Callithrix jacchus: one gene and its partners. The protein of the gene in region 1 purifies or fractionates together with the protein of each later gene. This does not show direct contact. Links are inferred from orthologs where the notes say so. Each region holds a gene or a part of one and is shown in the gene's direction. Other genes may lie near its edges.

Region 1 (4,038 bases):
GTAGCTGGGATTACAGAAGCACGCCACCACACCTGGCTAAAATTTGTATTTTGAGTAGAGACGTGGTTTCACCTGTTGGGCAGGCTGGTCCCAAACTCCTGACCTCAAGTGATTCACCAGCCTCAGCCTCCCAAAGTGCTGGGATTACTGACGCGTGGCACCTCACCTGGAAGAAGCTTAGCTTCTTAAAGGACTCGGCAATGCACAATGAGAAAACATTCACCGGGGAGCAGAGAAACGCCAGAACCTTCTTGAGGAAGGAAGGGTGGGGGAGGCCGGGATAGTCACCTGTGCGGAGCCATCATGGACACAGAGTGGAGGAGAGACAAATCTTCCTCACTGGACAGGTGGGGACCCCTGCGGTGCGCTAGGGGAATGCACTCGGGGCAGGGGTGGAGCACTATGAACTGGCGGCCCACGGGGAAGGGGGACGCACCAGGTAGCTTTGGGCTCTGCAAGTCCCTCCCTGACCTTGGGGAGGTGACCCCAGTGCCATGATGGTTTCTAGCAGCAGTCACTGTCCTGGGCGCGTCCGGCGCTCTAGCCCAGGTGGAGAGGTCACAACGGGGTGACCAAGGATGTCCTATGATCACCCCTTTGCAGGTAAGGAAACTGAGGCAGGAGAAGCGAAGCAACTCGCCCCAAGGATGGGCTGTGCCAGTAGCTTCTCCAAGGCCTGGTGCGCCCTGGCTTGTGCGCGGGATCCTAGGCGGGGTCTCAGTGCAAACAGGTGCTTCGCGGTGTGGCCAGCGCTGGGGCATCTCTGCCCACGAGGACAAAGCTGAGAGCCTGGGCGGCTGCGGTGAATCCTCAGGGCTAGGCGGGGAGGGCGCCAGGCCTCAGCTGGCGGGCTCGGACCAGGGCTGCGCACGGCAGAGCCCAACGGAGAAGCCGCCCGGCCGCCGTCACGTCGGAGACGACGCCCAACCGGCGCTCGCAAACGCGGGAGGCCCGCGAGGGCGAGGCAGGTAGGGCGCGACGCGACAACGACCACGTGGCCCGTCCGACCCGCCGCGCAGCCAGCCGGGAGATGCAGTCCGAGCCTTTCGGGAGCTGGACTCGGGCTCCCAGAGAGCCTCGCTGCGCGCATGCGATCCCCGCCCCACCGCGCGGCCTGCCGGGACTTGTAGTCCAGTGCCAGCAGGCTTCCGGGGCTGGAGTGGGCGGTAGGACTCCAAGTCCCAGAGAGCCGTGCGCGGGCCTCAACGCTAAGCACCGCCCTCGTCGTCGCCTCCTCTGAGCTTTCTCCGGTCGCCGCCGCCACCACCGTTGCTTCGCGGGCTGGGAGGCCCGGCGTCCGCGGGCGAACGGAGGCTGCGGGTGGGAGCCTTCGCGGGCACTGCAGAGCGGGCCGGGGGAGTCCGGGATGGAGCCCCTCGGAGGTGGGCTCGCTGCCGGGCTGGGAGCCTGCGGCGAGTGGGGAGGGGGCGGAGGGAGGGGACCGGGGCGGGGCTCGGTGGCGGGGGGACACCGGGGCGGGGGCAACGGGAGGAAGCAGCCTCGGAGGACGTGGGGGCGGGGATGGGAGGGGCGGCGAGCCCCGGGGCGCCTGGGCCTTAGGCCCGGGCGTGGCGGGGCGGCGGCCTGGGGGTCTCCCGGGGCCCCCCTCTGCAGCCCGCCGCCCCGGAGCTCGTTCTCAGATGACTGAAACGGGCACCGAGCGCTCCTGCTGTCCCTCGCAGTGGACTGACGCGGCAGGGGCGAAGGAGACGGCTCCGCGCCTCCTGGCGGGATCCCGACGCCTCCTGGGGCTGCCGGCGGAGCGTCTGGGGCGGCGCGGCCATGGCTCATCTCCGGGGATTTGCCAACCAGGTGAGGAGGGCGCAGGTCGGGAAGGCTCGCCGTGTCTCACCGAGGGGCGCCAGGGTCTCCCGGGGGGTCGGGGGGTGCGCCACGCTGGGGCGGGCCGTGGGGTGGGGAAAGGAGCGCGCGTCGTGCGCCCAGCAGAGCGGTCCCGAGGTGGGCGCGGGGCGGGGTCCTGCCGTGCGCCTGTGGCGTTTCGCGTGGCGGAAGCTCGCAGGCCTCTGGCTGGGATCCCGGTGGCTCCGCCTGTGCGAGGGTGGTGGAGGTGCGTGGAGAGACGTCCGCTCGGGGACAGGGCGCTGCCCCCAGCGTGGGCGGGAACCTCACGGCAGCATCCGAAGGCAGTGGAGGGTCAGCGTTGGGCTGGGCAGGAGCGGAGGGGAGACCCTGACGGGCGCCGAGGGGCAGGGAATGTGGCGAAGCGGGTCTGAGTGGGCCGGTGCGGGCTGCGTGCCGGGAAGCGGAGGACACGTGTGTGCTTTGCCCAGGGGAGGGTGAGAAGGCTGCTCTGTGCAGAACCGTTTCGTACCCGCTCCGGGCGGCTCCCCAAAGATGAGACTCGTCTCTTCCTTCTTTGGATTCTGGTCATTCCCACCATGGAGCCACTTTGAAGCGTCTGGCCTTGAGTTTTAACGGGTGGCCTCAGAGGGACCCACCACAGCGAGCCCTGGCAGTGTGTGCCAGGAAAGGAGGGTGGGGACAGCCAGCCTGGGGCCTGGGGACTTGCACCTGTACCCCTTTCCACTTTTACATCTTAGCTGTTTGGTTTTGCTCCCCTTGAAGCCTTGGCTCTGTTGAAGGTGTTGAAATCGCCGCTAAAAAGTGTGGCCCTCCTTGCCCCCTCCTGTGTGAATCCTTGCGAGCTGGGCGTGCTGTGGAACAGGAAGCGAGTCTGTCCGCACAGGGGCAGGAACTGGAGCCAGAGCTGCTCTGGAGGAAACCAGGCCAGCCTAGAGACCCGGAACACCATGTGCAGCTGTTGGGCCAGGCATCCCGGACCTGCTGTGGTCACAGATGGGGACTGGGGCATGCTGACTGATGCCGAATTACGCTAACAGATTTTTGGTTTGCTTTTGACATGCTGTATCTGGTAACTTACATGACTAAGGGGCTGGGAGAAAAATCTGCCACCAGTTAATTTTTTTTAATTAAAAAAAATTTTTTTTTTTGAGACAGGGTTTCACTCTTGTTGCCCAGGCTGGAGTGCAGTGGTTCAATCTTGGCTCACTGCAACCTCTGCCTCCCACATTCAAGCCATTCTCCTGCCTCAGCCTCCTGAGTAGGTGGGATTACAGGCATGTGCCACCACACCCAGCTAATTTTGTATTTTTAGTAGAGACGGAGTTTCACCGTGTTGATCAGGCTTGTCTCGAACTCCTCACCTCAAGTGTTCTCACCTTGGCCTCCCAAAGTGCTGGGATTACAGGCGTGAGCCACCATGCCCAGCCACCGGTTTAAGAACTGCGGAAATGGCTCCCCTGGGTCCTGGGATGAGAAATTGGAGCTCTGAGGTACCCTGTTGGTCGTTGGTGTGATCAGACCCAGGGGAGGGAGTGCAGGCACACTGGAGAAGGGACTCTAGAGGTAGGAAACACCTTTTGTCCTTTTAGGGGTCCCTCTGTCCTAGGCTGGAATGAGAGACTTGACTTCAGATAGTGGCAGGAAACCTGAGGGGCTGTGGTTTTCTCCTGAGATGGTTGCCATGGTGTCCTGAGCCCTGTGGGGCAGCCCCTTCATGGGAGAGTGAGGTACATTCCCCCTGCAGCCTGTGCTTCTGCCTTAGGCTTCTTGCCTCTGCCTAGCCAGTTCCTGCCTGGCCCTGGAGGGCCCGAATGGCTGTGGGGTGCCAGAGCACTGTATGGTCGCTCGGCTACTGCCTCTCAGGTGGCATCTGGGGATGTCTCTGGTGCGTGTGCTGGGCCACTCCTCTTGTTTGTGGGGCAACACTAACAGCAGACACACGGGCAAGTGGAGGCCGCACACCTGGCAGCGCAGGGCTGATGTGAAGAACAGGTGTCCACCGTCAGAGTCAGCTGAGTGGCCTGAGTCATCCAGACCACAGCTGTTATATCCAGAAGAGGGTTCTCAGCCTCCGTGGCAGGGTCCCATTCCCCCCTGGGATGTCTTTGCAGGACCAGGATCACAGCCAAGAGGGTTCCTATCACACAGTTTCTGCTTGGGCTGATGAGCCCTGGCTCTGGCTTAGGGGTCTACTGTGCTCTCCTGCTCTGAAGC
Region 2 (3,500 bases), about 11 Mb from region 1:
CATTTGGGAGGGTGAATGGGCATTTTGATGTTTAGTCAGGAAAATTTGTTAATGATTGTATTCCTAATAGGGCAAAAAAGACGTGGCTCAAATTTTCAACAATATTCTCAGAAGACAAATTGGTACAAGAACTCCTACTGTTGAATACATCTGCACCCAACAGAATATTTTGTTCATGTTATTGAAAGGGTATGTACAATGTAATAAAATTTGTATTCTTAGTTGAACATAAAGGAAAGGTTGCCTTGAGAAAAAAGCAGGATGCTGAATGTGGGAAGCATTTTCTCTGTAATTGAGTCAGATAATTTTTCCGCAGATTTTGAACACATTTTCCTTGTTGAAATTCAATATGTGAGCTAAATTGAATTTGAAAATACCCTATAGATGGGAGCTTAGAATTAGGTGATTTCTAAGCTTTTAAATTCACAAATCCAGCATGCCTGAAGGGAAAAAAATAATCCTCTGTGGTCTTACTTCTGTTCTCTAGGACTTTAAAAAGTAGGAATTCATTGCAGTATCAGTTAAGTTCTATATTGAAAGACCTCTCCTTTGGACATAATATGCACACCATAAGGCAGTAAAAGCTGCCTCTTAAGTGAAGCATGATTTCTCTATAGCTTTACTTTGTTGAGTCAGCAAAGTACATGTTTATGAATTAGTAGTGCCCTTTGATTTTTACCTCTGTGTGTCCTCTTACTAATCCATATAATTTGGCAATTCACAATGCATCTTCCTGGAATTACTACTGGTCTAAGCAGGCATTAATGTTTGGGTGGTCTTGTCAATTTAAAAGCAGAGAAAAACAGAAAAGCCTAAAGACTGAACCATAGAAACAAATGCCCTTCTCCCTCATCCCTGAGCCTTCTTGACTGGCAAGGTAACCTCTTGTTCTTTCCCACCAGAGTCGTGTGCCAGCCCGAGTATGGTGTGCATCTGTTTGTCCCAGCATTGGTGGGGCCTGTTCTATTAAGATGGTGGGCAGGCATGTTCCTGACATGACCACTGGCATGAATCAGCTTGCTGTCCTCCTCCTCGCTTTATAGCTTGCCTCAGTCTGATTCACATCTCTGCGGTTTAACACTTCCCCCAAGTTCAAACTTGTTTAGACAAAGCATGAGTCAGTGCCTGTGTTGCACGCCAGCATTCTGCTTCCCTCTTTCTCTTTCTAACCATCTGTGTTACTTCTTCAGATGTTGGGCTACAGAACTTTTGGCATCTAACTTTTGTTGTATCAATTCAGAGTTGTATGAGTAAACATGTAGTGGGTAGTGTGAACCTTTAGTGTTCTTAGAGCAGCTTTCAGGTGCCTTCATGTATTTTTAAAGCCCATATTTCCTTTTCCATAGAAACCAGTGATTATTCAAATCAGTATTTTAGTTAGCTGCCGACATTTTCACCTGAGAGTAATCAGAGGCATATGAGTGTTGTTAAATGGCATGTAAAGAAAGACTTTTGAGATACAATTTACAGTTTGGAGCTCTCACCTACGCTCTCCAGGGCAGACACTTCCAGCTAGGAAGTAGGGTGGAGCATGCAACTGGTCAATCAACCAGAAGCCCCACCCACCACCTTTGTTGTGAAAAATGTACATACAACTAGAGGGAATAATGTGACATACCAGTTCCTACCCTCAACCCACTTCAACAGTTACGAATGTTCTGTCGTTCTTGTTCCTTGCCTCCTTTTTCCTCTGACACATGATCACCTCAGTATGTCCCTAGTACACAGTACAAAACACAGTATAACACAGTTAACGATACCATTTGCAAACCTGATGTCTATTGCCCAATTTTCAGATTTCCTCAATTTTCACAAAAAGAGCATTTCACAGTTAGTTTATTTAATATTAGTTCCAGACTGAGCGTGGTGGCTCACACCTGTAATCCCAGCATTTGGGAGGCCAAGGCAGGTGGATAACTTGAGCCCAGGAGTTTGAGACCAGCCTGGGCAACATGGTGAAATGCTGTCTCTACTAAAAATACAAAAATTAGCTGGGCGTGGCGGCGCACACTTGTTATTCCAGCTATTTGAGAGGCTGAGGCACAGGAATCACTTGAACCCACAAGGCAGAGTTGCAGTGAGCCAAGATTGCGCCATTGCAGTCCAGCCTAGGTGACAGAGCAAGACTTGGTCTCAAAAAAAAAAAGGTTCCAAGCAAGGTCCACAAACTGAATTTGGTTAATAGAACTCTGAGCTCTCTTTTCATCTATAATAGTTAATATTATGCCATTTCTTTGTTGAAGCCTGGATTGCTTGTTTTGTAGAAAAATCATACATTTTCTGTTTTAGACTTGCATTTCTGTTGTTTCTTGAACATGTTCCACTATCCGCTATCGATTTAAGTGGTGGATAGTAGATCTGGCTTTTTTATTAGATTCAGATTCACTTTGGTGGGGGGGAAGTTCATGGATGGTGCTGTGTGCTTCATATCAGGTGACACTGGTTATCCCATTTCTGGTGATGTTCGATTGACCAGTGGATGTAGATATTGTCAGTCTGTCATCTGCCCTTTCACTAGTGGTTTTAGTTTCCATTGAGAATCAATCATTGCCTAGATTCAGAATGGCCGTTTCCCAATTGTGTTATTTCTTCTTCATATAATTGTTTATATAAAGAAGAACCCTTCCTTTTTTTGATGACTTAGTTATCTCAAAATATTATCTCATTTTTTAGTATAATCAGTTGGCGACATGGCCACTTCCTTAGATAAGCATTGAGTTGTTTTAAGGGTCATTATAAACTCAAGGTTTTTTGTTTTTTTTTTTTTAAAGACGAGGTTTCACCATGTTGCTCAGGCTGGTCTTGAACTCCCAACCTCAGGTGTCAGCCACCACGCCCAGCCTTAAACTCAAGTTTGTTTTTTTTTTTTTTAATATATTTGATATGTCTCAATCCCTTCCAGTCATTACTTTCTTGTATCCAGATTACCTCATCTTTGGCTATTGGGAGCTCCTTGAAGTTGGCTTCTGTGATGCTTTGGCAAGACCCCATCAGTTTGTGATGGCTTCCTTGCTTTCTGGCATAGGATAACCATCTTGCTCGTTTTGTACGAGTCCTGCCAGACCTGGAAACAGCTGTTCCTTCAGGGAGCCCTGTGAACAGCATTTTAAGATTTTTGTACTTTCGTTGATTGATTTAGACTGCTTCCATATTATGTGATTATCTTCTTAATCTGTAAGTACTTCTGTGCTAGATACTTATTTGGGGGGCTATGCTGCTAATATTAGCATGCATTTGAAGTCTACATTTGGAGGCGATAGGATTTTTTTTACTGGCATTTTACATGTTAATGTGCTGTTCACTCTCATGCTCACAGGTTATACAGCATAACTGTTTGCCTTGGACTTATTGGTTTATGGTTTTATCATTTAGACAAGGTTGACAAGCCTCCATCAAAACCTGCTCAACTTGTTGTACCAAACTATCTCACCCTTGTCCTTCCTGCCTACTAAAGATCAGCAGAGATGACTTGTATGATCAGCCATTTTGTAAGCAGGTAT
Region 3 (4,242 bases), on another chromosome or scaffold:
TCCCAAACTTTCATTACTACCAAAGGCTTTATCTGTTGTGCTTACTTCCAAGAACCCCATTTATTTATTTATTTATTTATTTACTTACTTACTTATTTATTTTTGAGACCAGGTCTCATTCTGCTGCCGAGACTGGAGTACAGTGGCACGATCTTGGCTCACTGCAACCTCTGCCTCCCCGGCTCAAGCAGTTCTCACTCATGTTAGCCTCCTGAGTAGCTGGGACTACAGGCGGCCATCACCAGCCCAGCCAATTTTTGTTTTTTTAGTATAGATGGGGGTTTCACCAAGTTGGCCAGGCTGGTCTTGAACTCCTGGCCTCAAGTGATCCACTCGCCTCAGCCTCAGAGCCCCATGTTTTAAAAAAGTTTGCCTCCTACACACTGCATTAATAGTTTTAATTTTATTAATCAGGCACATAGAATTACCATTTCAGAACTTGCGATCACCATATGTAGTTATCACTCCAAGCTGCTTAAATTCCAGTCTAAAACAAACAAAAAGGACATTCTAGTTATTCTGTGCTGCCCTGACACGGGTAGGTGAAAACTTGCCATTCAGTTTTGTAAGAAGGAGCTCCCAGATCTCCACTTCTTCCCCTTGCTGCCTCTGAGGACTCTTGGGGGTTTAGGGAGGCCAGTCTGGGTTTTCTTATTCAAGCAAAGTAGCCACCCCACCCAGTTTGGAAGGATTAAAGCTTGTCCTAGTTTTGCTTCATTGTTGTACTTCTAGCATGCTAAAGAGCTGAAAAATGGGAGGAAGAAAATACAACAGAAGGCACCATTCCAGTACCAAACTGAAAAGAAACACAAAAACAAGAGAGCAGCATGTTTTTAACAGCTTGCGTGGAAAAAATATTGACTGGGGAGTTTGGACAGCACTGTTCATTTTCTCTCACCGCCCGCGTTATTTGTCTTATGGAGCAGGAGCCAGATACCATTCTGGAGAACAGGCCGAGGGAAGAGGTGGAGGGGTTCTGTGGAAGCTTGAGGCTGAGCTGAGTAATTAGGGCTGGAGATCCTGTGGCTCAGTGCCAGGATGCAGTCAGGGGAGGTGCTAAAGCCTTCTTCCTCCTGGCCTCGGGCACTCTCTTTGGTCCGCCTGAGTCTTAAGAGGGCACAGCGCGGATCACCCAGGTAGGTCCCTGGCCCCTTCAGACGAGCCGGATGAATCACTGTCCCTGTTTCTTTCGGCTAGGGAAAGGACGCAGGGGTTCCATTCGCTTTCTCAGTCCACCCATCTTCTTGAGTTCAGACCTACAACTCCTGCATTGGGGGTCGGAAGGGAGCCTTAATCATCGGGACAGAAACTCAGCTCCTCAACCTCGGCTCAACTCGCGTGGCAGCTTTAGTCCCTCCTGCCAGGGCGCGGGGCGGGGCCTGGGAGCGGGGCGGGGGCTGGGCGCGGGGCGGGGCCTGGGCGCGGGGCGGGAGGCGGTGACCAGCAGTAGGAGGAGAAAGAACATGGCGGGCGCAGCGGGGCCCGGGACCTGCCCGGGAGCAGCCGGCGGAGGTGGAGACGATTCGCTATACCCTGTCGCGGTTTTAATCGACGAGCTCCGCAATGAAGACGTGCAGGTACTGGACTGAGCCCGGGGAGCCGAGGTGGGCCCGGTCGGTCGCGTGGTAGAGAAGGGGGAAGGCCTGTGCCGCGGTGGCTATGGCCGGGGGACTGATTGAACCGGACTCAGCAGAAACTTGGAAGGGCAGGCGAGGAAAGATCCGCGAGGGGACGTGGTGGCACGCCCCGACTCTCCCGGTGACCGCTCCAGTACCCCTGCTTCGGACCCCCTGAGGCGTCCGCCCGGAGCCTGGCCTTTCCAGGGCGGTTGTCCGGGAACCCGCTTCCCGCCTGGGCCGCCCCGCTTCGGGCTGTGAGGCAGCTGGAGGAGCGCGGTGCGGGGCCGAGACCGGGCTGGAGCGACTGAGGGCGCAGGATGCGCAGAAGCCCTTTGAAGTGTCCCGGAATCCCTTCGTCTCGGCCTAGAACTGGCTCGGCTTGTTGGGTAGAAAGAGGAGGTGGGATTGCCGATCAACCTGGACGTGTCGTATCAGCTTTACGGGAACTTTTCTTTGAAACGACAGGCGTTGTATTCGACCGTTTCACCTGCTTCACCACTGCCAAAGTGCCCTCTTTTAAAAATTATCTTACTTCCTGGGTGTTGTATTATCTTTCATTCATTTCTCTTCCGGGGCCTTCTGAGTGTTTCTCCTAGGAAATCTTCCGCTGGCTAGTGAGACCGAGTTACATTCCTCTTGGAAGTCCCTTAACAGTGAAATGTAAATGAAATGTTAGTTATCCTCATTCTTACCCGTGTCATTGTTTCACCTGTTAGCACCTTTTGTCTTTTGATCTAAATTTAACCGTTTCTTTACATTGATTTTCTTTCTCCTTTTCTGAAGCTCCGACTCAACAGTATTAAGAAGTTATCAACAATTGCCCTAGCACTTGGAGTAGAAAGGACACGAAGTGAATTGCTGCCATTCCTTACAGGTATGTGAACCTTTGTTTAAAGAAAGGCAGGGACATTCCATTTTCCAGTAGCTTTCAACACTGACTTTTTTAGTTTGTTACCCACATTAAAATGAGCCGGGTGGTTTATGTGCAAAAGAAACAGAACAGAGTATATTGTTACTTGTGGCTAGATATATTCAAACAATAACCATTTAGCTATTGGGAAAGTAATTGCTATGAGAATATGAATTTCCAATTTGTTGTGCAAAACAGATCTAGGAAGAGAGTTGATTGAGGAGAAGGAAGAAAATGCTGTTAGGATTTTGACTGGGCCACCTTACTGGTTGCATAGTGAATCTGGTCCTAGTTTTGCGTCAGTGTACGGCTGCTGTGGGAGAGCTGTGTTGATGAGTCCCTGTTGTTGTCACTTCCAGATACAATTTATGATGAAGATGAGGTACTATTAGCTCTTGCTGAGCAGCTGGGAAATTTCACCGGCCTAGTGGGAGGTCCTGACTTTGCCCACTGTCTGCTGGTGAGTATACTGCTGCTTACCCTCCTTCCAGAACTTTTGCAGTATAAATGATACATTGTTTCGTGACAGGCATACTGCAGCATTTTTTATACAGATCTTTTATGGGCAGATTATCATAATGTTAGTCACTGAGAGAATAAATAATGTAAGCATTTTGGACTCAACCCATTCTTTTTTTTTTTTTCTATGAATAAGATAACTTTGTCCTTCTGTGTCTGTATACGTATTAGTTTAGATGTAGGGAGAAAAAGGATTTGATTGTTTTTATGGTTCCCCTCCCCCCAGGTTGAAAGTCTTAATTCTCATCTAGTGGCATTTTGTCTTTCTCAGTATAACTTTTGCTTCTGACTTTGTGAGTTTGATGAATTTAGTTCAATTTAATTGACATTTATTGAGAGTCTGCTTTATCAGACACATCGTTAATTTGCAGTGTTAATGTGAGTGGGCTTGTGGTACAAGCCTGTATAGTACCAGCTACTCAGGAGGCTGAGATGGGAGGATCACTTGAGCCCAGGAGTTTGAATCCAGCCTGGGCAACGTAGTGAGACCCCTATCTCTTAAAAAAAAACGTGACCACCAGGCTGGGTGTGGTGGCTCAAGCCTGTAATCCCAGCACTTTGGGAGGCCGAGGCGGGTGGGTCACGAGATCAAGAAATCGAGACCATCCTGGTCAACATGGTGAAACTCCGTCTCTACTAAAAATACAAAAAATTAGCTGGGCATGGTGGCGTGTGCCTGTAATCCCGGCTACTCAGGAGGCTGAGGCAGGAGAATTGCCTGAACCCAGGAGGCGGAGGTTGCGGTGAGCCGAGATCGCGCCATTGCACTCTAGCCTGGGTAACAAGAGTGAAACTCCATCTCAAAAAAAATAAATAAATAAAAATTACCACCAAAGTAAATGGAATGAGGTCCCTGCTTTTATGTGCCAGCAAATAATTACTGTGCAGTCTTATATGGAAAGATAGAAGTATCTACAAAATACCCACATAATAAAGGGGAGAAAGGGATTAACTCAGGGTGATCAGGAAAGACCTCTTGGGAGATGATGTTTGAACTGGGTTTTAAAAGATGACCAGGAATTCAACAGTTGGACAAAGTAGGATGTATGCTTCAGGGCTTTCAGTACTGGGTATGTAATACGATTCTCGCAATTTCGATCTCTAGCTCTGACTTTTCCATGGAACTCCTGAGGTAGATTGATTAATAGATAAGTATGAATGTGTATATATGGAGAGATCTATATTTTTCTATCT
Region 4 (4,130 bases), on another chromosome or scaffold:
ATTTACAATAGCAAAAGATGGAAGCAACCCACTGGATGAATGGATAAACAAAATGCAGAATATACAATACAATGGAGTATTATTCAGCCTTAAAAAGGAAGGAAAATATAATATGTGCTACTATATGGATAAAACTTGTGGACATAATGCTAAGTGAAATAAGGCAGTTACATAAATACAAATGCTGTATGATTTCACTCATGTCAGGTATTCAGGAAAGTAGCATGGTGGCTGCCAGGGGATGGGGAGAAGAAAGAATGAGGAGCTACTGTTTAATAATGCAGAACTTCAGTTTTGCAAGATGAAAGAGTTCTAGAGATGGATGCTGATGGTGGCTGTATAACAGTGTGAATGTACTGCTATTAATACTACTGAACTGTATGCTTAAAAATGGCTCAGATAGCCGGGCGCGGTGGCTCACACCTGTAATCCCAGCACTTTGGGAGGCCGAGGCGGGTGGATCACGACGTCAAGAGATCGAGACCATCCTGGTCAACATGGTGAAACCCCATCTCTACTAAAAATACAAAAAATTAGCTGGGCATGGTGGCGCGTGCCTGTAATCCCAGCTACTCAGGAGGCCGAGGCAGGAGAATTGCCTGAACCCAGGAGGCGGAGGTTGCGGTGAGCCGAGATCGCGCCATTGCACTCCAGCCTGGGTAACAAGAGTGAAACTCCATCTCAAAAAAAAAAAAGGCTGAGATATTAAATTTTATGTGTATTTTACCACGATTTTTAAAAAATTAAATGAAAATAGGTCAGGTGCGGTGATTCACGCCTATATTCCCAGCACTTTCGGAGGCCGAGGCAGACAGATCACTTGAGGCCAGGAGTTCCATACCAGCCTGGCCAACATGGTGAAACCCTGTCTCTACTAAAAATAACAAAAATTAGCCGCATGTGATGGCACATGCCTGTAGTCCCAGGTTCTTGGGAGGCTAATGCAGGGGGATCGCTTGAACCCGGGAAGCAAGGGTTTCAGTGAGCCGAGATCACGCCACTGCACTCCAGCCTGGGCAACAACAGCAAAATTCCGTCTCAAAAAACAAAAATTTTAAATTAAAAATTAAATGAAAATAAAAACTATGAGTAACAACCCACATCGATGAAAACCAGTAGGGAAAGGAGAACTTCCTACTGCCCAGTTAATCATGGCCTGACCAGCAGGCTGTGGGAATTGGAAACCAAGGGCGTGGCAAGGGCAGGTCTGGGGCTCCGCGCTGGGCAGGACTGCAAAGAAGCCACAGGTTCCAGCGGGTAAACCCGCAAACGGGACTGCTATTGCGCAGGCGCAAGACACCTTTTAAACGTGCCCGGAAGTGACGCTTGTAATGCTGAGACAGACTCCCAGATCTCAGCAAGTCGCGTAGCTGAGCCCGGCAGGTCCAGTGGGGTCGTGCCGCTGCTATGAGCTGCACCATCGAGAAGATCCTGACAGATGCCAAGACGCTGCTGGAGAGGCTGCGGGAGCACGATGCGGCCGCTGAGTCACTGGTGGATCAGTCGGCGGCGTTGCACCGGCGGGTAGCCTCTATGCGGGAGGCGGGGACGGCGCTTCCGGATCAGGTCAGGCAGAGGGTAGGAGTCCAGTGCTCTCGGATTCTGGGCACTGAAGGGTGGAGAGCGAGGTAAAGTGGGAACTCGGCCTGGAATTGATTCCGCGTCTCAGAGGGCGGCGGTGAGACATTTTTCCTGGGTCGGGGCTGAGAAACCTGCCCCGGAGCGCTGATTTCTGCCTCTTCAGTTGCATCTGCCGCTGTTCTCTACTTAGTCTGTCTCTGTTTGTCCAGTATCAAGAGGATGCATCCGATATGAAGGACATGTCCAAATACAAACCTCACATTCTGCTGTCCCAAGAGAACACACAGATTAGAGACTTGCAGCAGGAAAACAGAGGTTAGTCGGGCCTTTTCATATCTGGTAATAGTTTGAAAGGTATTGCAGAATTGCCCTAACCGTTCACAAAAATGTACATATATTTCCAGGTCAGTACTTTTAGTAGGCGAGTCTTCCTGTGCTGGCCCGGTAACAGCAAAGGTTTTTAGATTACCCTTTTCAAGATCATCTGACTGATTTTGTAGCAGCTTACCAAAGAGCTGCTAAGTAGAGTTGAATTCTTGCAAACTTTAATGTTTAATAAGTATTAATGAAAATAAACACTAAAGGTAAGGTTTAAGGTTTTGTTTATGTTCTTGTTCATGCAAGGGAAGCAGCAGAATGTTATTTTAAGGGTATATATTCTTCGGCTTGATTAGTATATTATTAATAATTGTAGTATTACTAGTTGTTTACCAGCGGGGTTTCACAGGTATCATTCTACTGTATTCTCCTATCTTCATTTTTAGCTATTTATTACAATGCAGTTAAGAAATACACTCAGAGACGCTAAATGATTTACTTACAAGTATTAACGAAGCAAGTTACAGAACTGAACTCAAACCCGTGTCTTCTGATGACATATCCTTTGTTGTTTCTGCTTCTCTGCCTAGAAAGTTATCTTTCACATAGACTTTAACTGTTCAGTTTTGTGGACTTAAACCCTGATTTACAGCTTTGGATTCATATTATCTCTATAGTGTTACAAAATTCCAACTGTTAAGACTTTGGATATGGGAGCGCTCTCTCAGACATCACTGCCAAGTTATTTTATTTTTGATAGAGCTCTGGGTTTCCTTGGAGGAACACCAGGATGCTTTGGAACTCATCATGAGCAAGTACCGGAAACAGATGTTACAGTTAATGGTTGCTAAAAAAGCTGTGGATGCCGAACCAGTCCTGAAAGCTCACCAGTCTCACTCTGCAGTAAGAAACTTTGAATAAATTCGAAATGAACTGAATTGAAATCTTGAGATTGTTCATTGTGTGCTTGTTTTTGTTTTGTTTTTTGAGATAGGGCCTGGCTCTGTCGACCAGGCTGAGGTACAGTGGCACGATCTCAGCTCACTGCAACCTCTGCCTCCTGGGCTCAAGCCATCCTCTCATCTCTGCCTCCTGAGTAGCTGGGACTACAGGTGTACACCACCATGCCCTGTTAATTTTTGTGTATGTGGTTTTTTGGTTTTTGGTAGAGATGAGGTTTCACTGTGTTGCCCAGGCTGGTTTGAAACTCCTGTGCTCAAGCAATCCATCTACGTTGGCCTTCCAAAGTGCTGGGGTTACAGGCATGAACCACTGTGCCTGGCCATGTGTGCTTGTTTTTGAAGAAAAGTAAGCTTGTTTTCCTTTCATGTTTATCACGTTTGTTGTTGATTTTGCCATGGCTTTGTAAAGATATGAATAGAAAGGAGGAGGATGGGGCTGCTCAGGTCCTTTTATTTGAGTAGGAGTAAGGTACCCCCTCCCTTACCAAGATCTCTTTTGAAGATGTTCATTAATTCTTAGCTCTCCCACCAAACATAATGCCAGTTAGTGTTGAAGATGCCCAGTAAACACTTGGTTGCTTATTCTTTATACATCTCACTTAAGCTCCTTTGTTGTAAGGAGCATGAATTCATATTTTATTCCTACCATAGTACCTGACATACAGCAGGCGGTCAGTAAACATTTTTTAAACTGAACTACATAGCATTATACCATGTTGTTAGGGAAGAGAAGTATGCTTTTTTTTAAAAAAAAAAACAAAAAAACAAGCATGGCATAGTTTCTATACTTTGCTTATGATCTAATTTGAGAGACTCAGTAATTATTCTTATGCTTGTAGGTGCTTCGTAGATGTCATTGTACATTCATGTGTACTGTATGATTTAAATCTAGATGTGTAGATTGGAGCCTACTATATGCTACTGTGAGATGCAGTGAAAGATAAGCTTCGTCTTAAACTCCATTGAATGCATTTTACTGACTTAAAAGTTTTAGGAAACAGATATTTTATAAATATTTGAATGGCTTTCATCTGGAATAGAAAAGTAGATTTTATTTTTTCTCTTATGGAGGAAAAAACTTGAACCTTGAAAGAGACAGAGTTTACTCAGATAGATAAACTTTCTAAGTGATATGTCCAAAGATGAAATGTAATAAGCTTCCTGCCAATTAACGTATTCAAATTTAAGTTAGCCACTTAGAGATAGTATCCAACATCCAATGGGTAGTTAAACTACAATTGATTTTTCAAAAAAAAAAAAATTATCTGT
Region 5 (3,500 bases), on another chromosome or scaffold:
TTCTGATCCCTGGACTTTTGTTTGTTTAAATTGTTTGGAAGTTATTTCAAACTTAATGAAGTTGGAGAACTCCCACATACCCTTTAATTTTAAAATTTTTTCCACATTTTAGCACGCTCTCTTTCTCTCTATATATATCTACACACACATGCATGCTTTATTTTTTCTGAACCATTTGAATGTAGTTGCTATATAATACTCCCCTCAATACTGAAGTACATTTTAAAAACAAGGATGCTCTCTTACATAACCACAGGCAGTTGTCAAAGTCTGATTTCTGATCCTTTTTCTTTTTTTGAGACAGAATCTCACTCTGTCACCCAGGCTGGAGTGCAGTGGTGCAATCTCTGCTCACTGCAACCTCCACCTCCCAAGTTCAGGTGATTCTCCTGCCTCAGCCTCCTGAGTAGCTGGGATTAGAGGTGCATGCCACCATGCCCAGCTAATTTTTGTATTTTTAGTAGAGACAGGGTTTCACCGTGTTGGCCAGCCTGGTCTTGAACTCCTGGGCTTGAGTCATCTACCTGCCTCACCTCTGATTTCTGGTCTTTTGTATGTGACCTGCTTTTTCACTCTGGGAAGTCTGGGAAGCTTTCAGGGTCTTTTCTTGGCTCTCAGTATTCTGAAATTTCACAACAATGCATACCGTGGCATGGGTCTGTTTGCTTTTTCTTCATTAGGTTGTACATTCATGACTCCTTTCAATTTGGAAACGTGCTCCTCTTCAGAGGCATTCCCATGAATTACTTTATTTTGATAATTTCTTCCTCTCATTATCTCTGATTTCTCTTTCTGGAACTCCCATTATTCACAAAGTGGCCCTCCCAGATCTATCCTCCAACTTTCTTGCCCTTTTTTTTTCATAGTTTTCTGATTTCACAACTTTATCTTTTAAGCTTTTATTTTTTCACTTTTTTCTGCTGTTAATTTTTTTTTGTTTCTAATAGTCTTTTATCTTGTAAAGAAAACAACATGCTGTTTATAGATTCAGAATCTCTTACCTGACAACTGATGATGCACCTTTTTGAAGTTTTCAATAGTTCATTTCCTGTAAGTTGCATTTTTGTCCTTTGTTTTGATAGCTCTTTCACATAACTGTTTTCCTCAGCCGCTCCGTGGTTGTTAGCTATCTGCACCTACTCCAGAGTCGGACAGTAAGAAACTGCTGCACAGGTCTACGCTGGGACTCATTGACCGTCATCTTTCCCTGTGACTAATCTTGCTGGGGGACCCTTGGGATCAGTTTTCTTGGCCTTTGGATCCTTCAGTTCCCCGGAGATGACACGTACAGTCTTCTGTCTGGAGGGTGGCCACTTGGCTGCACTGACGGCCACACTGTTAACACGTCCTCATCTACACTGGTAGCCTACCTTGTTAACATAGCACTCCACCGTCAGCTTTGCTCTGTGGCCCCTCTTCAGGGTTCCTCTGTCACCTTTGAGAGTAAGTGGCTAGTTTTGTGCCAGGATGAGCTTATTGCTTCTGAAAGAGACTTTCAAACAGTTGGGCTCTCTTCACCTTGCCCACACTTCCAGAGCCGCTCAGCACCTCCAGGGCCTGAGCTTCTGGGAGGTTCTGCAGGACGCAGCAGGTGGGTCTCTGGCTTTCCTGGGCCTTCTCACTCTGTCTCCATCTGTCCTGCTGCCCTGCTTTTGTTCTGTCATCACTCGTCCTGCTATTTTATCGTTGTGATTTGTGCCTTTAAAAAATCCATTTATTTTGCCAGGCATGATCGCTCACACCTGTAATCCCAGCACTTTGGGAGGCAAAAGCAGGTGGATCACCTGCGGTCAAGAGTTCGAGACCAGCCTGGCCAACATAGTGAAACCCCATCTCTACTAGAAATACAAAAAATTAATTGTTTTAATTGGACATGGTGGTGCATGCCTATAATCCCAGCCACTCGGGAGGGCTGAGGAAGCAGAATGCCTTGAACCTGGGAGGTGGAGGTTGCAGTGAGCCAAGATCACGCCACTCCACTCCGGCCTGGGCAACGGAGTCAGATGCTGCCTCAAAAAAAAAAAAAAAAAAAAAAAAAAAATCCCTTGTTTTAGTAAGGTTTCTGGAGAGAGAAGAGATAAATGTGAGTTCAATCCACTGTCTTTAAGCAGAGGTTTCCTGTGATTATGGAAAAACAAGTGTGCCAGATAGCAGTAGGCTGACAGCAGCTTGCCAGTGCATTCCCCAACAGGCCCTTTTTGTCATTGACTTGCTAGGAACCCCAAGGTGAGGGCTTGTTACAAAGCTTTGAGGCTCTGCTTGGCTCTGCCTTTCTGAGGGTGATGGGGAGGCACACACAGGCAGCATGGCAGGGCACTCAGGACAGTGAGTTCTGCCCAGGGCTATGGACTGATCCTGAGTTTGCCTGGGCTTTTGTCACTTTAATGAAACTGCTGTTTGTTTTCTTCCATTCCCAATCCCCAAACCTGTTCTCTAGGATGATGAGAGCCTGAAGTACCTCACCCATGAGGAAAAGGATGTCCTTCTGTTTTTTGAGGAGACGATCGACTCCCTGGACGAGGACTTTGAGGAGCCAGTGCTGTGTGATGGGGGAGCATGCTGCGTCTGCTCCCCGTCTCTGGAAGAGAGCACCTCCAGTCCCTCCGAGCCTGAAGATGTCATCGACTTAGTGCAGTTGGTACCTGGCGCCAGGGAAGCCGAGGGCCTTCCAGAGGGGACCCAGGCAGCAGGTGAGGGGGAAGCACAGGCCAGGCCTGGGACATGGTTTGCCGGTGTCTGTGGGGCACAGAGATACTTCTTTTTGTGATCTCCTGTGTTTGCCAGTAGAAGCTGTTGAGTCTTCCCAGATTTTTTTAGGGGAAAAGCATCCTCGGCAGTTTCATTGTCCAGCAAAGGGAAATGCCAGAGGGACTAGAATAAAGAAGGAAACGAACTGGGCCCAGAAGCGGAGTTTACAGTTTCCTTTTTTTGTTTTTTTCTTTTCTTTTTTGAGATGGAGTCTCACTCTTGTTGCCCAGACTAGAGTGCAGTGGCACAATCTCAGCTCACCTCCATCTCCTGGGTTCAAACAATTCTTTTGCCTCAGCTTCCTGGTAGCTAGAACTACAAGCGCCTGCCACCACACCCGGCTAAGTTTTGTACTTTTAGTAGACACACGGTTTCGCCATTTTGGCCAGGCTGGTCTTGAACACCTGACTTCAGGTGATCCACCCGCCTCAGCCTCCCAAAGGGCTGGGATTATAGGCGCGAGCCACCGTGCCCGGCCCGGAGTTTACATTTTCATACACAATGTACACATGCACAGAAAGAAAATTAGAAATGGCTTCCAGGTAATTATTTTACAGGCTGGGCGTCATGGATCACTTGAGGCCAAGAGTTCAAGACCAGCCTGGCCAACACAGTGAAAAGTAACTGGTCCTGGTGGTGCATACCTATAGTCCCAGCTGCTCCACAGGGAGAGGCACCAGAATCTCTTGAACCCCCCCGAGGCTGCCGTGAGCCAAGATCGCACCACTGCACTCCAGCCTGGGTGGCAGAGC
Region 6 (4,296 bases), on another chromosome or scaffold:
CCTTCTGGCTCTAATGTTTGCTTTACAATCATCCACGCCCATTCTCAGTCCACCCTGTGAGAGCCAACGTGAAGTGAGCAGAATATGGCATAAGTTTGGAGTCACACATCCTTACTGGAAGTTCTTTACCATTTACTAGCTTTTATTTGATTTCTCTGAATCTCTGTCTTCTCGTCCGTAAGTTGGACACAATGATATCTATCCTACACTGTAGGATAGATTTCTCACACAGTACTCAAGATGACATAAAATACCATTAAATGAAAGTACATGGCACAATGATAACATTAATAGTTGTTTACTTCATTCAGACTCAATCACAGACTGATTACATCCCTCGGTCAGACTGTAAACTGCATGAGGCAGGCTGCATCTGCCTTGAGGACTGTCTGACTAGGCAAGTACTAGGTCCCTAATGCTGTCTTGCAAACTGTAATTGCTAAGCTTAGGGATAATGTATTAATTATTAATTAATAATTATTTAGGCATTATATTTGTCTCATACGTATATTTAAAATAATGTGGTTATTGTAAATGTAACCAGTTGAATCAATCTGTGAGCTGACAGCCATTCAATGGAAACGGAATTAAAAAACTTTGACCTCAGGTAGGGATACAGCTAGTTAAACATCCACTCCTCTCTCTGAGTTATTTGGTCCTGCCTAGGACTTGCTGCCTCTAAGATCTGCATTCCTGTGTTCACAAGGCAGACATTCCTTGCATCCTCTGTACTCTCCACTCTCTCAGCTTCACTGCAAACCATTCCCCACAATATAATGAGGCCAAGGACAGAAAAAAGTCGCCTCAGTTGGCAAGCATAGAGAGAGAAAACCTGCCACACAAATTTGCAATTATTCGACTTCCGCCTGGAAAAAAGGTCGGCTGGGTTTACGTCCCCCAAAATTAGTATCCTCTTCTGTACAAAATGTGGTTGAGAGAAGGGTCATCTCCAGGTATTTCATCTTTGCACCCTTGCTTCCAGCACCACGCCCACAGAAAAAAGAAAAAAAAAAAGGGTGGCGGGAGCAGCGAAGCCAGGTTTTCAACAACTAATTCATTCTAATGCAGATACAAAAGCCCACTTCATTTATTAACATTCTGGATAAAACCCCAATCGCTCAGGCTTACCAGAGCCCTCCATTCCTAAACTCCCCATACAATCAGGGAAAAGCATGAAGCACTAGCCACGGTCCTGCCCAGAAACCACGCAGAAGGTGGAAAGTTGCAGACCCCGGGCCGGGAGAGGCGCGGACTAGAGCTCACCCTGAACCCCGGGACCCAGGAGGACACTTCCTCCCGGAAGTGACGCGAGCTCAATCCCAGCCTGGCTCTTCCCAAACAAAAGGGATCTTGGGGCCCCGGGAGGAGCTTGAATGACATTGGAGAAGCCCCGCCTCCAGTCGGCGCGGATTGGGGCCGGGGCTGGAGAAGCAAGGAGACGATTGGCGATGGTGAATGCCAATGTCCCCGCCGGGCGGCTGAGGGGGCGGAGCCTCAGCCGCTGTGGATGGGGAGTGGAGGCGGCGGAGAGTGGTTCCCGGAGCGTCGCGGAAAGGTAGGAGCCAGTAGCCCTGGGGCTTGGTGATGGCTGGGAGGCCGGGTTCTAGAGAGCAAAGCAAGGGTAGGGGCACCGATAGCCTCTCGCCGCCGTCCCAACGGCTGCCGGGCCCATCCCCTGAGGGGGCGGGGCCGTCTCCTCCACCTCCCGGTATTCCCCGAGGAGGCGGCTGGCTCCTCATCCTTCGAGGGTCCTCACAGCTACTTTTTGTTCCTTGTCGATTCCCAGCTCCTCAGAAGGGGGTTCCCTCTGACACCCCTCATTCAAAGGCTCCTCCCACCCCGCACCTCAGCCTTGGCGGAGAGGACTCACAGCTACCGATTCTCTAGGCTGCCGCCCCCAACCCCATTTTGTACCCCCGGAAGGCCATGCATTCCTCCCTACACCTGTCCCAGCTCGCCAGGCTGGAACTGGAGCTGCTTTCCTCCGTAAGATATAATTCGTGTTTTCCAAAAAGGAGGGATGGGGCGAAGCAAAAATCAAAGACGCGACCTAGACAGCCAGCTTTACCGAGGAAGCGGCTTCCCCGACTTGTTCTTCCCATCCCCCATTCTCTGATACTCAGCCTTCCTCCCGCCGCCCCCGGCATCTCTGGCCTTCTGTGAGGAGTCAGGGGCTCTCCTGCTTCGGGACTTCTTTAGACTCTAAAAGAGGAAGAAATAGGACCTCCTCTCCTTTACCCTTTGTACCTTCCGTCTACTTTCTGTTCCTTCTGGGATAGTCCAGCCTCGGAGGGTTTCTTAGATTTGAATTGCGTTTCATTTTTCCTTTTCCACCCCTATTTCTCCCCTGAGAACTTGGTGAAAAGCCATCTTACATTTCACAGTGAGGTGGGTGTGTTGAATATCTGCAGAGTTGGCTTTGTGTGGGCAGGAATGCAGTGTATGTGGCTTGACAGTCAATGAATAACACGGTGTTTTCAAATGAAACAGTATACAAAAGTAAATAAATAGCAGTCGATTAGGAATGAGTATATCCCAGTCTAGGGTGGGCTGGTCCATTGCTCAGGGAGACTGCAGTTAACCTTGAAGGTATACTGCAGGTTGAAACAAAAGGCAGGAAGTATTTGAAGCAAATTCAGGTGCAGTTATCTAGGTTTATGATTAATCTAGTCCTGCGGCCGGTGCTTCCTCTCTAACCCCTTTTTTAGAGTGTCCTTCTCCCCCTGCCCCCGGGAAACACATATATATTTTGATTGGCTTTACAATCACCTACCAAAATTGAGAGGATGAAAAGAACAATTTATAAATCTCAGAGATAAGAGTAAATAAAGGCAAGATAGAAATTCTAGCTATTCACGTTTACCAAAAAGTGTCTCTCTAGTGTGTTTCTAAAGGTTTTGTCAAGTTGGCCTTCATTTCAGCAGGTGCAAGGTGTTGATTTGGATCTCATGTTAATGTCATTGACTCTCCAGTAATCATCCATCGCTGGCACTTTTATATATTAAAGTTTGCCATATTTTTAGCGTAGTTTCTTTTGCTTTCAACCTCAAGTCCACCTCCCCACTGTCAGCTATAGCGAAAGCTGATAGCAATAGAATGCAAGGAGTTGGAATGACTGTTGTCTTTTACCTGCTTGATTAAACTTCCCGAAGGTAATTGTTTTTGAATAGTTAGGTTTCAAGGTTTCAGAGCCACTGGGTACTCACAGATCTTTTCAGCAATTATTTCCAAATCTCCAATAAGAAAGTACAAAGAAGAGGAGGGGGAGGTGGGGAGGGATAGCCTGGGGAGAAATGCCAAATGTGGGTGAAGGGGAGAAGGAAAGAAAAGCACACGGCCATGTGTGTTCCTACGCAACTGTCTTGCATGCTCTGCTCATGTACCCCAAAACCTAAAATCCAATAAAAAATTTAAAAAAAAGAAAGTACAAAGAAGAAACTGGAGGTTTCTGTAGCAAAGACAATGTGTGCTGCAATAGAAGGCTAAGACATTGGCCCCCAGCAACTACAGCAGAAAAAACTAAAAGCATAACAAAATCCCAAAAAGATAAGTCGTATTACGTCAGCAGAGAACAGAAAATAAACTAAGGTAAGAGTCTAAGGAAACAAAAGTTGTGGCGATTGCCGGGTTTTAATAGAGAGGAAAAGCAAACAATGTTCTTTTATTATTTAGCACAGTAAGCAAGATCTGTTTGTTATACTTTTGGGTCTTGAAAATCTTTCTTTTAACCTTTTCAGCATCTGTTTGGTCATGCTAGATGAAGACAAGAATAGTATGCGAGGATATAGGTCTGTTCTCTCTCCTCAAATTATACATTCTTTGAAGGCAGATAGTGGTATTTTTTTTTGTTCATCTTTGTATCTTTCACAGTTCCTAGAATGGCTTAATGAGTGTTTAATTTAGTTTGAAGCTGTCACCTTAAGATAGACTGACAGGTAATACACCGATAAGATGTGACACAGCTTGTTAGTATAAACAGCCTACTTGTTGTCTTAACTTGATTTTTCCCATCTACAGTCTTATGAAATTGCAATGTCTTAAGTGACTAAAATATTGAATTTTCTATAAAGAAATATCTGTGAGGCAGAATGTGGTGGCTTATTCTTACAATCCTAGCTGTTTGGGAGGCTGAGGCAGGAGAATCACTTGAGCCCATGAGGTGGAGGTTGCAGTGAGCCGAGATTGTCCTATTGCACTCCAGCCGGGGCGACAAGAGAGAAACTTCATCTCAAAAAATTAACAAAATTAAAATTTCTGAGATTTGCTGCTAATGACTAAAATTAAATCTTCGAAACT
Region 7 (4,047 bases), on another chromosome or scaffold:
CTCGCGCGTGCGCACAGCGCTCTCCGATGGACACCCCCACCACCCCACCAAGCCTCCCTTCCCCCTCGGAGGGCCAGGCGCCTCAGTCGCCGAACAGGAAGAGGGCGGGGCCAAGGAGAAAAAAACACGCCTCCACCCCTCGAGATTTTCTACCCGCTAATTTTCCCAGTCACCCATTGGGAAGAAGGATCTGGGCGACCTGAAAGCCTCCCAAACAGCGAAGTACCAACCACAGTACTGGCTAAACCAGACACGGCACCCTAAACGTAGGGCCCACCCACTCGGTCTCCCCTTCTCGGTCTCTCCACCCAGGCCGCTTTCCCCTGGAAAAAATCGCGAGACTTTGCGAGAGGCCGAGTGAAAACCTGAGAGGGGAGGACAGGGAGGGACATAAAAGGGCCCCGCCCCGCATGCTCGCGCAAAGCGGCTAGAGGTCGGCTCTGCCTCACCGTAACGCGAGGAAGGAAATCTCGCGAGGCTGGAGTCCTCCGGGAGCGACGGTCGGAGGCGGTCGGCGGAGGTGTCTCCCCAGTCGGTGATGGGGCTGAATACCGCTGGCCTCTCGGCCACCCCCCTGCCACCTCGGTCCGGTTCTGCGTCTGCTCGCTGAGGAGGCGGATTAGGGGCGAGGAGTTTCTTCCCTTGGGTGCATACGTCCGGGTTGGTTGAGGCATTGAGTTGGATCGCCACAGCTGACGCCTGCGAGGGACTAAAAGGAGAGTAAGTAGACTAAATCCAGGGACAGGAGCGGTGGTGGGCGAGTCGCGGGCGTCCTTCATTGAGGCCGGTGCCCTGCGCCTCTAGAACCACCGGCGCCAGCTCCCGGCCGCTTCCAGCCGCGGGCTCCCAACTCCTGGGAGCCGGACTTTTTCTCCGTGTCCCCCGGCTCCGAGCTCCTCTTAATGGAGCTGCGGTTCAGAAAGTTTAATGAAAAGCCTTGGCCCTAACCCTGTGGACACATCTTCCGTATCTGCTTTCTTCCTGCCTTACCCACCTGCGAGCTCACCACCGGACGGGGGACCCTTTCAGTCACCTGTTAGCAGCGTTTAATGAAGATAACTTGTTTCTTGAAACTGCTCTCCAAGGAGCATTACTCTGTTCTGGTTCTCTTCCTGTCGTCCTTCTGTATCCCATCCCTGATAATGGTTCCTTATCTGTCCTGTTATCCGAACTAGAAAACCAGGAATTATTCTTGGTTCTTCATTTCCACTCACTGCACTGTATTATTTTTTCTTTCGCCAGAAATACTCTAGTTGCCCCTTGCCCTACTACACTGGTTTCCCTACTATAATCCTTCCATAGAGTTATTCTAAAATACATATTTATCTCTGTTCTTTCCTTAAACTTTTTAGTAACCATATTGCTGACAGAATCAAATCCTAATTGTTAAGTACATCATCATTCAGGATCTTTTACAGTCTGTCCCAATCCATTTTACCTTTTAGTCTTGCTTTAATATCTGACCATAGCAGATTATACTGGCTGTTTCCTCAAACATGCCATGCACTTTGACAACTCTGTACTTCTGTACGTGCGGTACCATCTGTCTAGAACGCTTACTGTTCCTCTGTTTTACCACCTATCAAAACCCAAATCATAAATTTTTTCTTCTCAGACTCCCGCAGGTGAATGGATACCGCTGTGTTCCCAACGCGTTTGAAACATTTCTTCTGCAGTATTTATTAGGTTGTATTATTTGTTTATGTATCTGTCTCTCCTGCCAATTTGAACCTGGGTCTGGAATCATGTCTTATTCATCTCTGACGAAGAGTCCAATGCTTGGCTCGTAGTAAGCATTATTTATATGTACCTATGTATGCTTATAGAAATGGAATAGTGCTAAAGAATTCACCGTTAAGAGTTCTTCATCTTTTAATATCAAAGAATTTTGGAGCCAGAAGGAACTTTGTGCATTAGCTTAAAGGCCCCTGATCTGTTTTGAATTTAAGAAATCCTACACTTACGCAATTGTACTTTTAGTAATTGTTGATTGAAATTATATATGACAGAAAACTACTATGCTTTTAAATGACTTTGTATTTTATTTTTATAATATCTGTTTATGTTAGAAAAATGGAGCAGAAATGTTTTAGACTACAGACAGTGCTTGGAGTATGTGCATTCAGGCAACTCTTCCACTGACTCATTAGTCTGTAGGTTAGAAATAACTGGTTTAGATTAGGTTAGTTCCTTCCTGAATTGTCATAATTGTTTGAATATGAAACTTAAATTCAGCCACAATTCTAAGGGAACGTGTATTTAAAAAAAAAAAATCCTCCAGCGCCATTACTTCCAAAGTCTTTCTTCCAACTTTAAAAATTAATTGAATACAGTTCCAAACATGTATTCATTGCACTGTTTTCAAGGACAGTGAAAATATTCTTTGCTTTCAGATACAATGATATGCCTGTATCAGTGCTTATTTTTATATGTAATTTGTATGCATCGTTTCTTTCTTATGATTATGTTTCTATGAAAACCATAACTATATTTTAAATTTTTTTATTTTCATATGGGTCAGTTCATATTATGTACTACTTAATATCAGAGACGAATAACTTGAACATGAAAAAAATTTAAACTAGATTCTTGACATTTAAAGACACATCTAGGGTATATCAGTAGTCAGAATATTTCTTTGTATTCCTGTAGTGGTAGGTGTAGTTTACTTGCAGTTAAGGGAAACAGAAGGGTTTCCAATCTGTAAACATTCATTGATCTTATAATTAATGTAATGCCTAATTTAAATGATTGCTAGGCTTTTATTATCTGGAAAACATTCGAAATTTTTTTTATTCTTTAAAAGTTTTCTTATATTTCATACATATTCCCATTTATTTTCTGTGGTTGGCTTAAAAATTTTGACTTGAATTTCCTTAAATTTTTCTTAACCAAAAAACAGCTGGCAATTGCTGTCTTGGGTGGGCGGTGGTTTCTCTTTTATCAGCAGCAGAATGTTCTAAACCTTCTGCCAGAAGTCTGACTGCGAAAGTCTTTGGGTGGTAAAGTGGGCGAGAATATGACTAACACAGAAAAGAAAAAAAATTTTTTTAAACTTGGTTAAAAAAAATTCACTTGTAATTTGAAACTACCTATAGAAAATAATGTAAGTAAGTGTATTATGGCTAGTTAAGATAGGCACTATAAAAACAGGTTGAAAAGTGTAGAATATTCCTTTTTTACTGAAGTTTGTTTATAAAATTTGAAACTTGTTAGAGAGTTTGGAAAACAGTCTTCCTCCTACTCTACTTCCTGGCCAAAAAAGAGGGGAAGCACAATGGTCTTCAAAAAAGGTGATAAAGTAAATGCATATTATAAAATATTCAAACTTTTGTGTGGTTTCACATACAGGAAATGAACATGCAAATTCTTAGAAACTCTTGTCATTGTTTTTCTGAATTGCTAATAAAATTATGCTTTAAGCTATCTGCTGTTTATAATTCCTTTCCCTGAATAGGTAGGTTTTTATAGTTAACAAAACAGATTTTAAATGTAGTTCATTTTGTATTTCATTATGCAGTCTGGAGAAGAGTTTTTCATAAATCGGATGTTAATTACGATTTTTAAAAAGCCCATCCGTAAACATTCATTGATCTTATAATTAACTGTGACACCTAATTAAAATGGTTTGCTAGGCTTTTATGTCTGGAAAACATTTGACTTTTTTTTATTCTTTAAAATTTCATATGCATTCTTATTTCTTTTCTATTGCTGACCCAAAAAACTTTTCATAATATCTTTCATGTTCCGTTTGTGGGGTAGGATGAGGGAATTTGCTTTTTTTCCCCCCACCTAATGAGTTTGAGGTGGTTTCTATATAGGTAAAAAGCAAACAGGACCCTGGGAATTCAACTTGGCTCAAGAATAAAACACCGGACTGGGGATCAGAAGTTCTATTTTTGGGACTAGTTTGGCTCTTTTCTTGCTTTGTGGTGCTATCATTTGGCTTTTTAGATTTGGAATCCATGCATCTATTTCCTCATTGGTAAAATGGATATAAAACTTGTCCTCTTGCCCAAATGACAGTATAAGGTTAGTGTTGCTCAG

Evidence for each region.
Region 2: the proteins of STK25 (region 1) and CAB39 purify together in Homo sapiens (co-immunoprecipitation; 3 studies listed by BioGRID and IntAct, counting the BioPlex papers as one, with this or other methods). This does not show direct contact. The link is inferred for Callithrix jacchus from reciprocal best matches to the Homo sapiens genes STK25 and CAB39.
Region 3: the proteins of STK25 (region 1) and PPP2R1B purify together in Homo sapiens (affinity purification with mass spectrometry; 3 studies listed by BioGRID and IntAct, with this or other methods). This does not show direct contact. The link is inferred for Callithrix jacchus from reciprocal best matches to the Homo sapiens genes STK25 and PPP2R1B.
Region 4: the proteins of STK25 (region 1) and SIKE1 purify together in Homo sapiens (affinity purification with mass spectrometry; 4 studies listed by BioGRID and IntAct, with this or other methods). This does not show direct contact. The link is inferred for Callithrix jacchus from reciprocal best matches to the Homo sapiens genes STK25 and SIKE1.
Region 5: the proteins of STK25 (region 1) and PROSER2 purify together in Homo sapiens (affinity purification with mass spectrometry; 3 studies listed by BioGRID and IntAct, counting the BioPlex papers as one, with this or other methods). This does not show direct contact. The link is inferred for Callithrix jacchus from reciprocal best matches to the Homo sapiens genes STK25 and PROSER2.
Region 6: the proteins of STK25 (region 1) and CTTNBP2NL purify together in Homo sapiens (affinity purification with mass spectrometry; 6 studies listed by BioGRID and IntAct, counting the BioPlex papers as one, with this or other methods). This does not show direct contact. The link is inferred for Callithrix jacchus from reciprocal best matches to the Homo sapiens genes STK25 and CTTNBP2NL.
Region 7: the proteins of STK25 (region 1) and FGFR1OP2 purify together in Homo sapiens (affinity purification with mass spectrometry; 5 studies listed by BioGRID and IntAct, with this or other methods). This does not show direct contact. The link is inferred for Callithrix jacchus from reciprocal best matches to the Homo sapiens genes STK25 and FGFR1OP2.

Annotation. Positions count from the first base shown.
Region 1 is NC_133507.1:162,786,950-162,790,987, reverse strand, and holds the start of STK25 (serine/threonine-protein kinase 25), read left to right. Parts: upstream 1-1,238; 5' UTR 1,239-1,320; exon of another isoform or gene 1,321-1,382; intron 1,383-1,682; 5' UTR 1,683-1,782; coding exon 1,783-1,812; intron 1,813-1,885; exon of another isoform or gene 1,886-2,154; intron 2,155-4,038. UniProt on the Homo sapiens protein: Oxidant stress-activated serine/threonine kinase that may play a role in the response to environmental stress.
Region 2 is NC_133507.1:152,263,591-152,267,090, forward strand, and holds part of CAB39 (calcium-binding protein 39), read left to right. Parts: intron 1-70; coding exon 71-189; intron 190-3,500. UniProt on the Homo sapiens protein: Component of a complex that binds and activates STK11/LKB1. In the complex, required to stabilize the interaction between CAB39/MO25 (CAB39/MO25alpha or CAB39L/MO25beta) and STK11/LKB1.
Region 3 is NC_133511.1:11,467,480-11,471,721, reverse strand, and holds the start of PPP2R1B (serine/threonine-protein phosphatase 2A 65 kDa regulatory subunit A beta isoform), read left to right. Parts: upstream 1-1,442; 5' UTR 1,443-1,463; coding exon 1,464-1,577; intron 1,578-2,402; coding exon 2,403-2,493; intron 2,494-2,888; coding exon 2,889-2,989; intron 2,990-4,242. UniProt on the Homo sapiens protein: The PR65 subunit of protein phosphatase 2A serves as a scaffolding molecule to coordinate the assembly of the catalytic subunit and a variable regulatory B subunit.
Region 4 is NC_133508.1:152,760,526-152,764,655, reverse strand, and holds the start of SIKE1 (suppressor of IKBKE 1), read left to right. Parts: upstream 1-1,330; 5' UTR 1,331-1,407; coding exon 1,408-1,578; intron 1,579-1,790; coding exon 1,791-1,896; intron 1,897-2,659; coding exon 2,660-2,802; intron 2,803-4,130.
Region 5 is NC_133508.1:2,290,009-2,293,508, reverse strand, and holds part of PROSER2 (proline and serine-rich protein 2), read left to right. Parts: intron 1-2,437; coding exon 2,438-2,690; intron 2,691-3,500.
Region 6 is NC_133508.1:150,364,140-150,368,435, forward strand, and holds the start of CTTNBP2NL (CTTNBP2 N-terminal-like protein), read left to right. Parts: upstream 1-1,496; 5' UTR 1,497-1,555; intron 1,556-4,296. UniProt on the Homo sapiens protein: Regulates lamellipodial actin dynamics in a CTTN-dependent manner. Associates with core striatin-interacting phosphatase and kinase (STRIPAK) complex to form CTTNBP2NL-STRIPAK complexes.
Region 7 is NC_133510.1:44,307,404-44,311,450, reverse strand, and holds the start of FGFR1OP2 (FGFR1 oncogene partner 2), read left to right. Parts: upstream 1-1,247; 5' UTR 1,248-1,496; coding exon 1,497-1,686; intron 1,687-4,047. UniProt on the Homo sapiens protein: May be involved in wound healing pathway.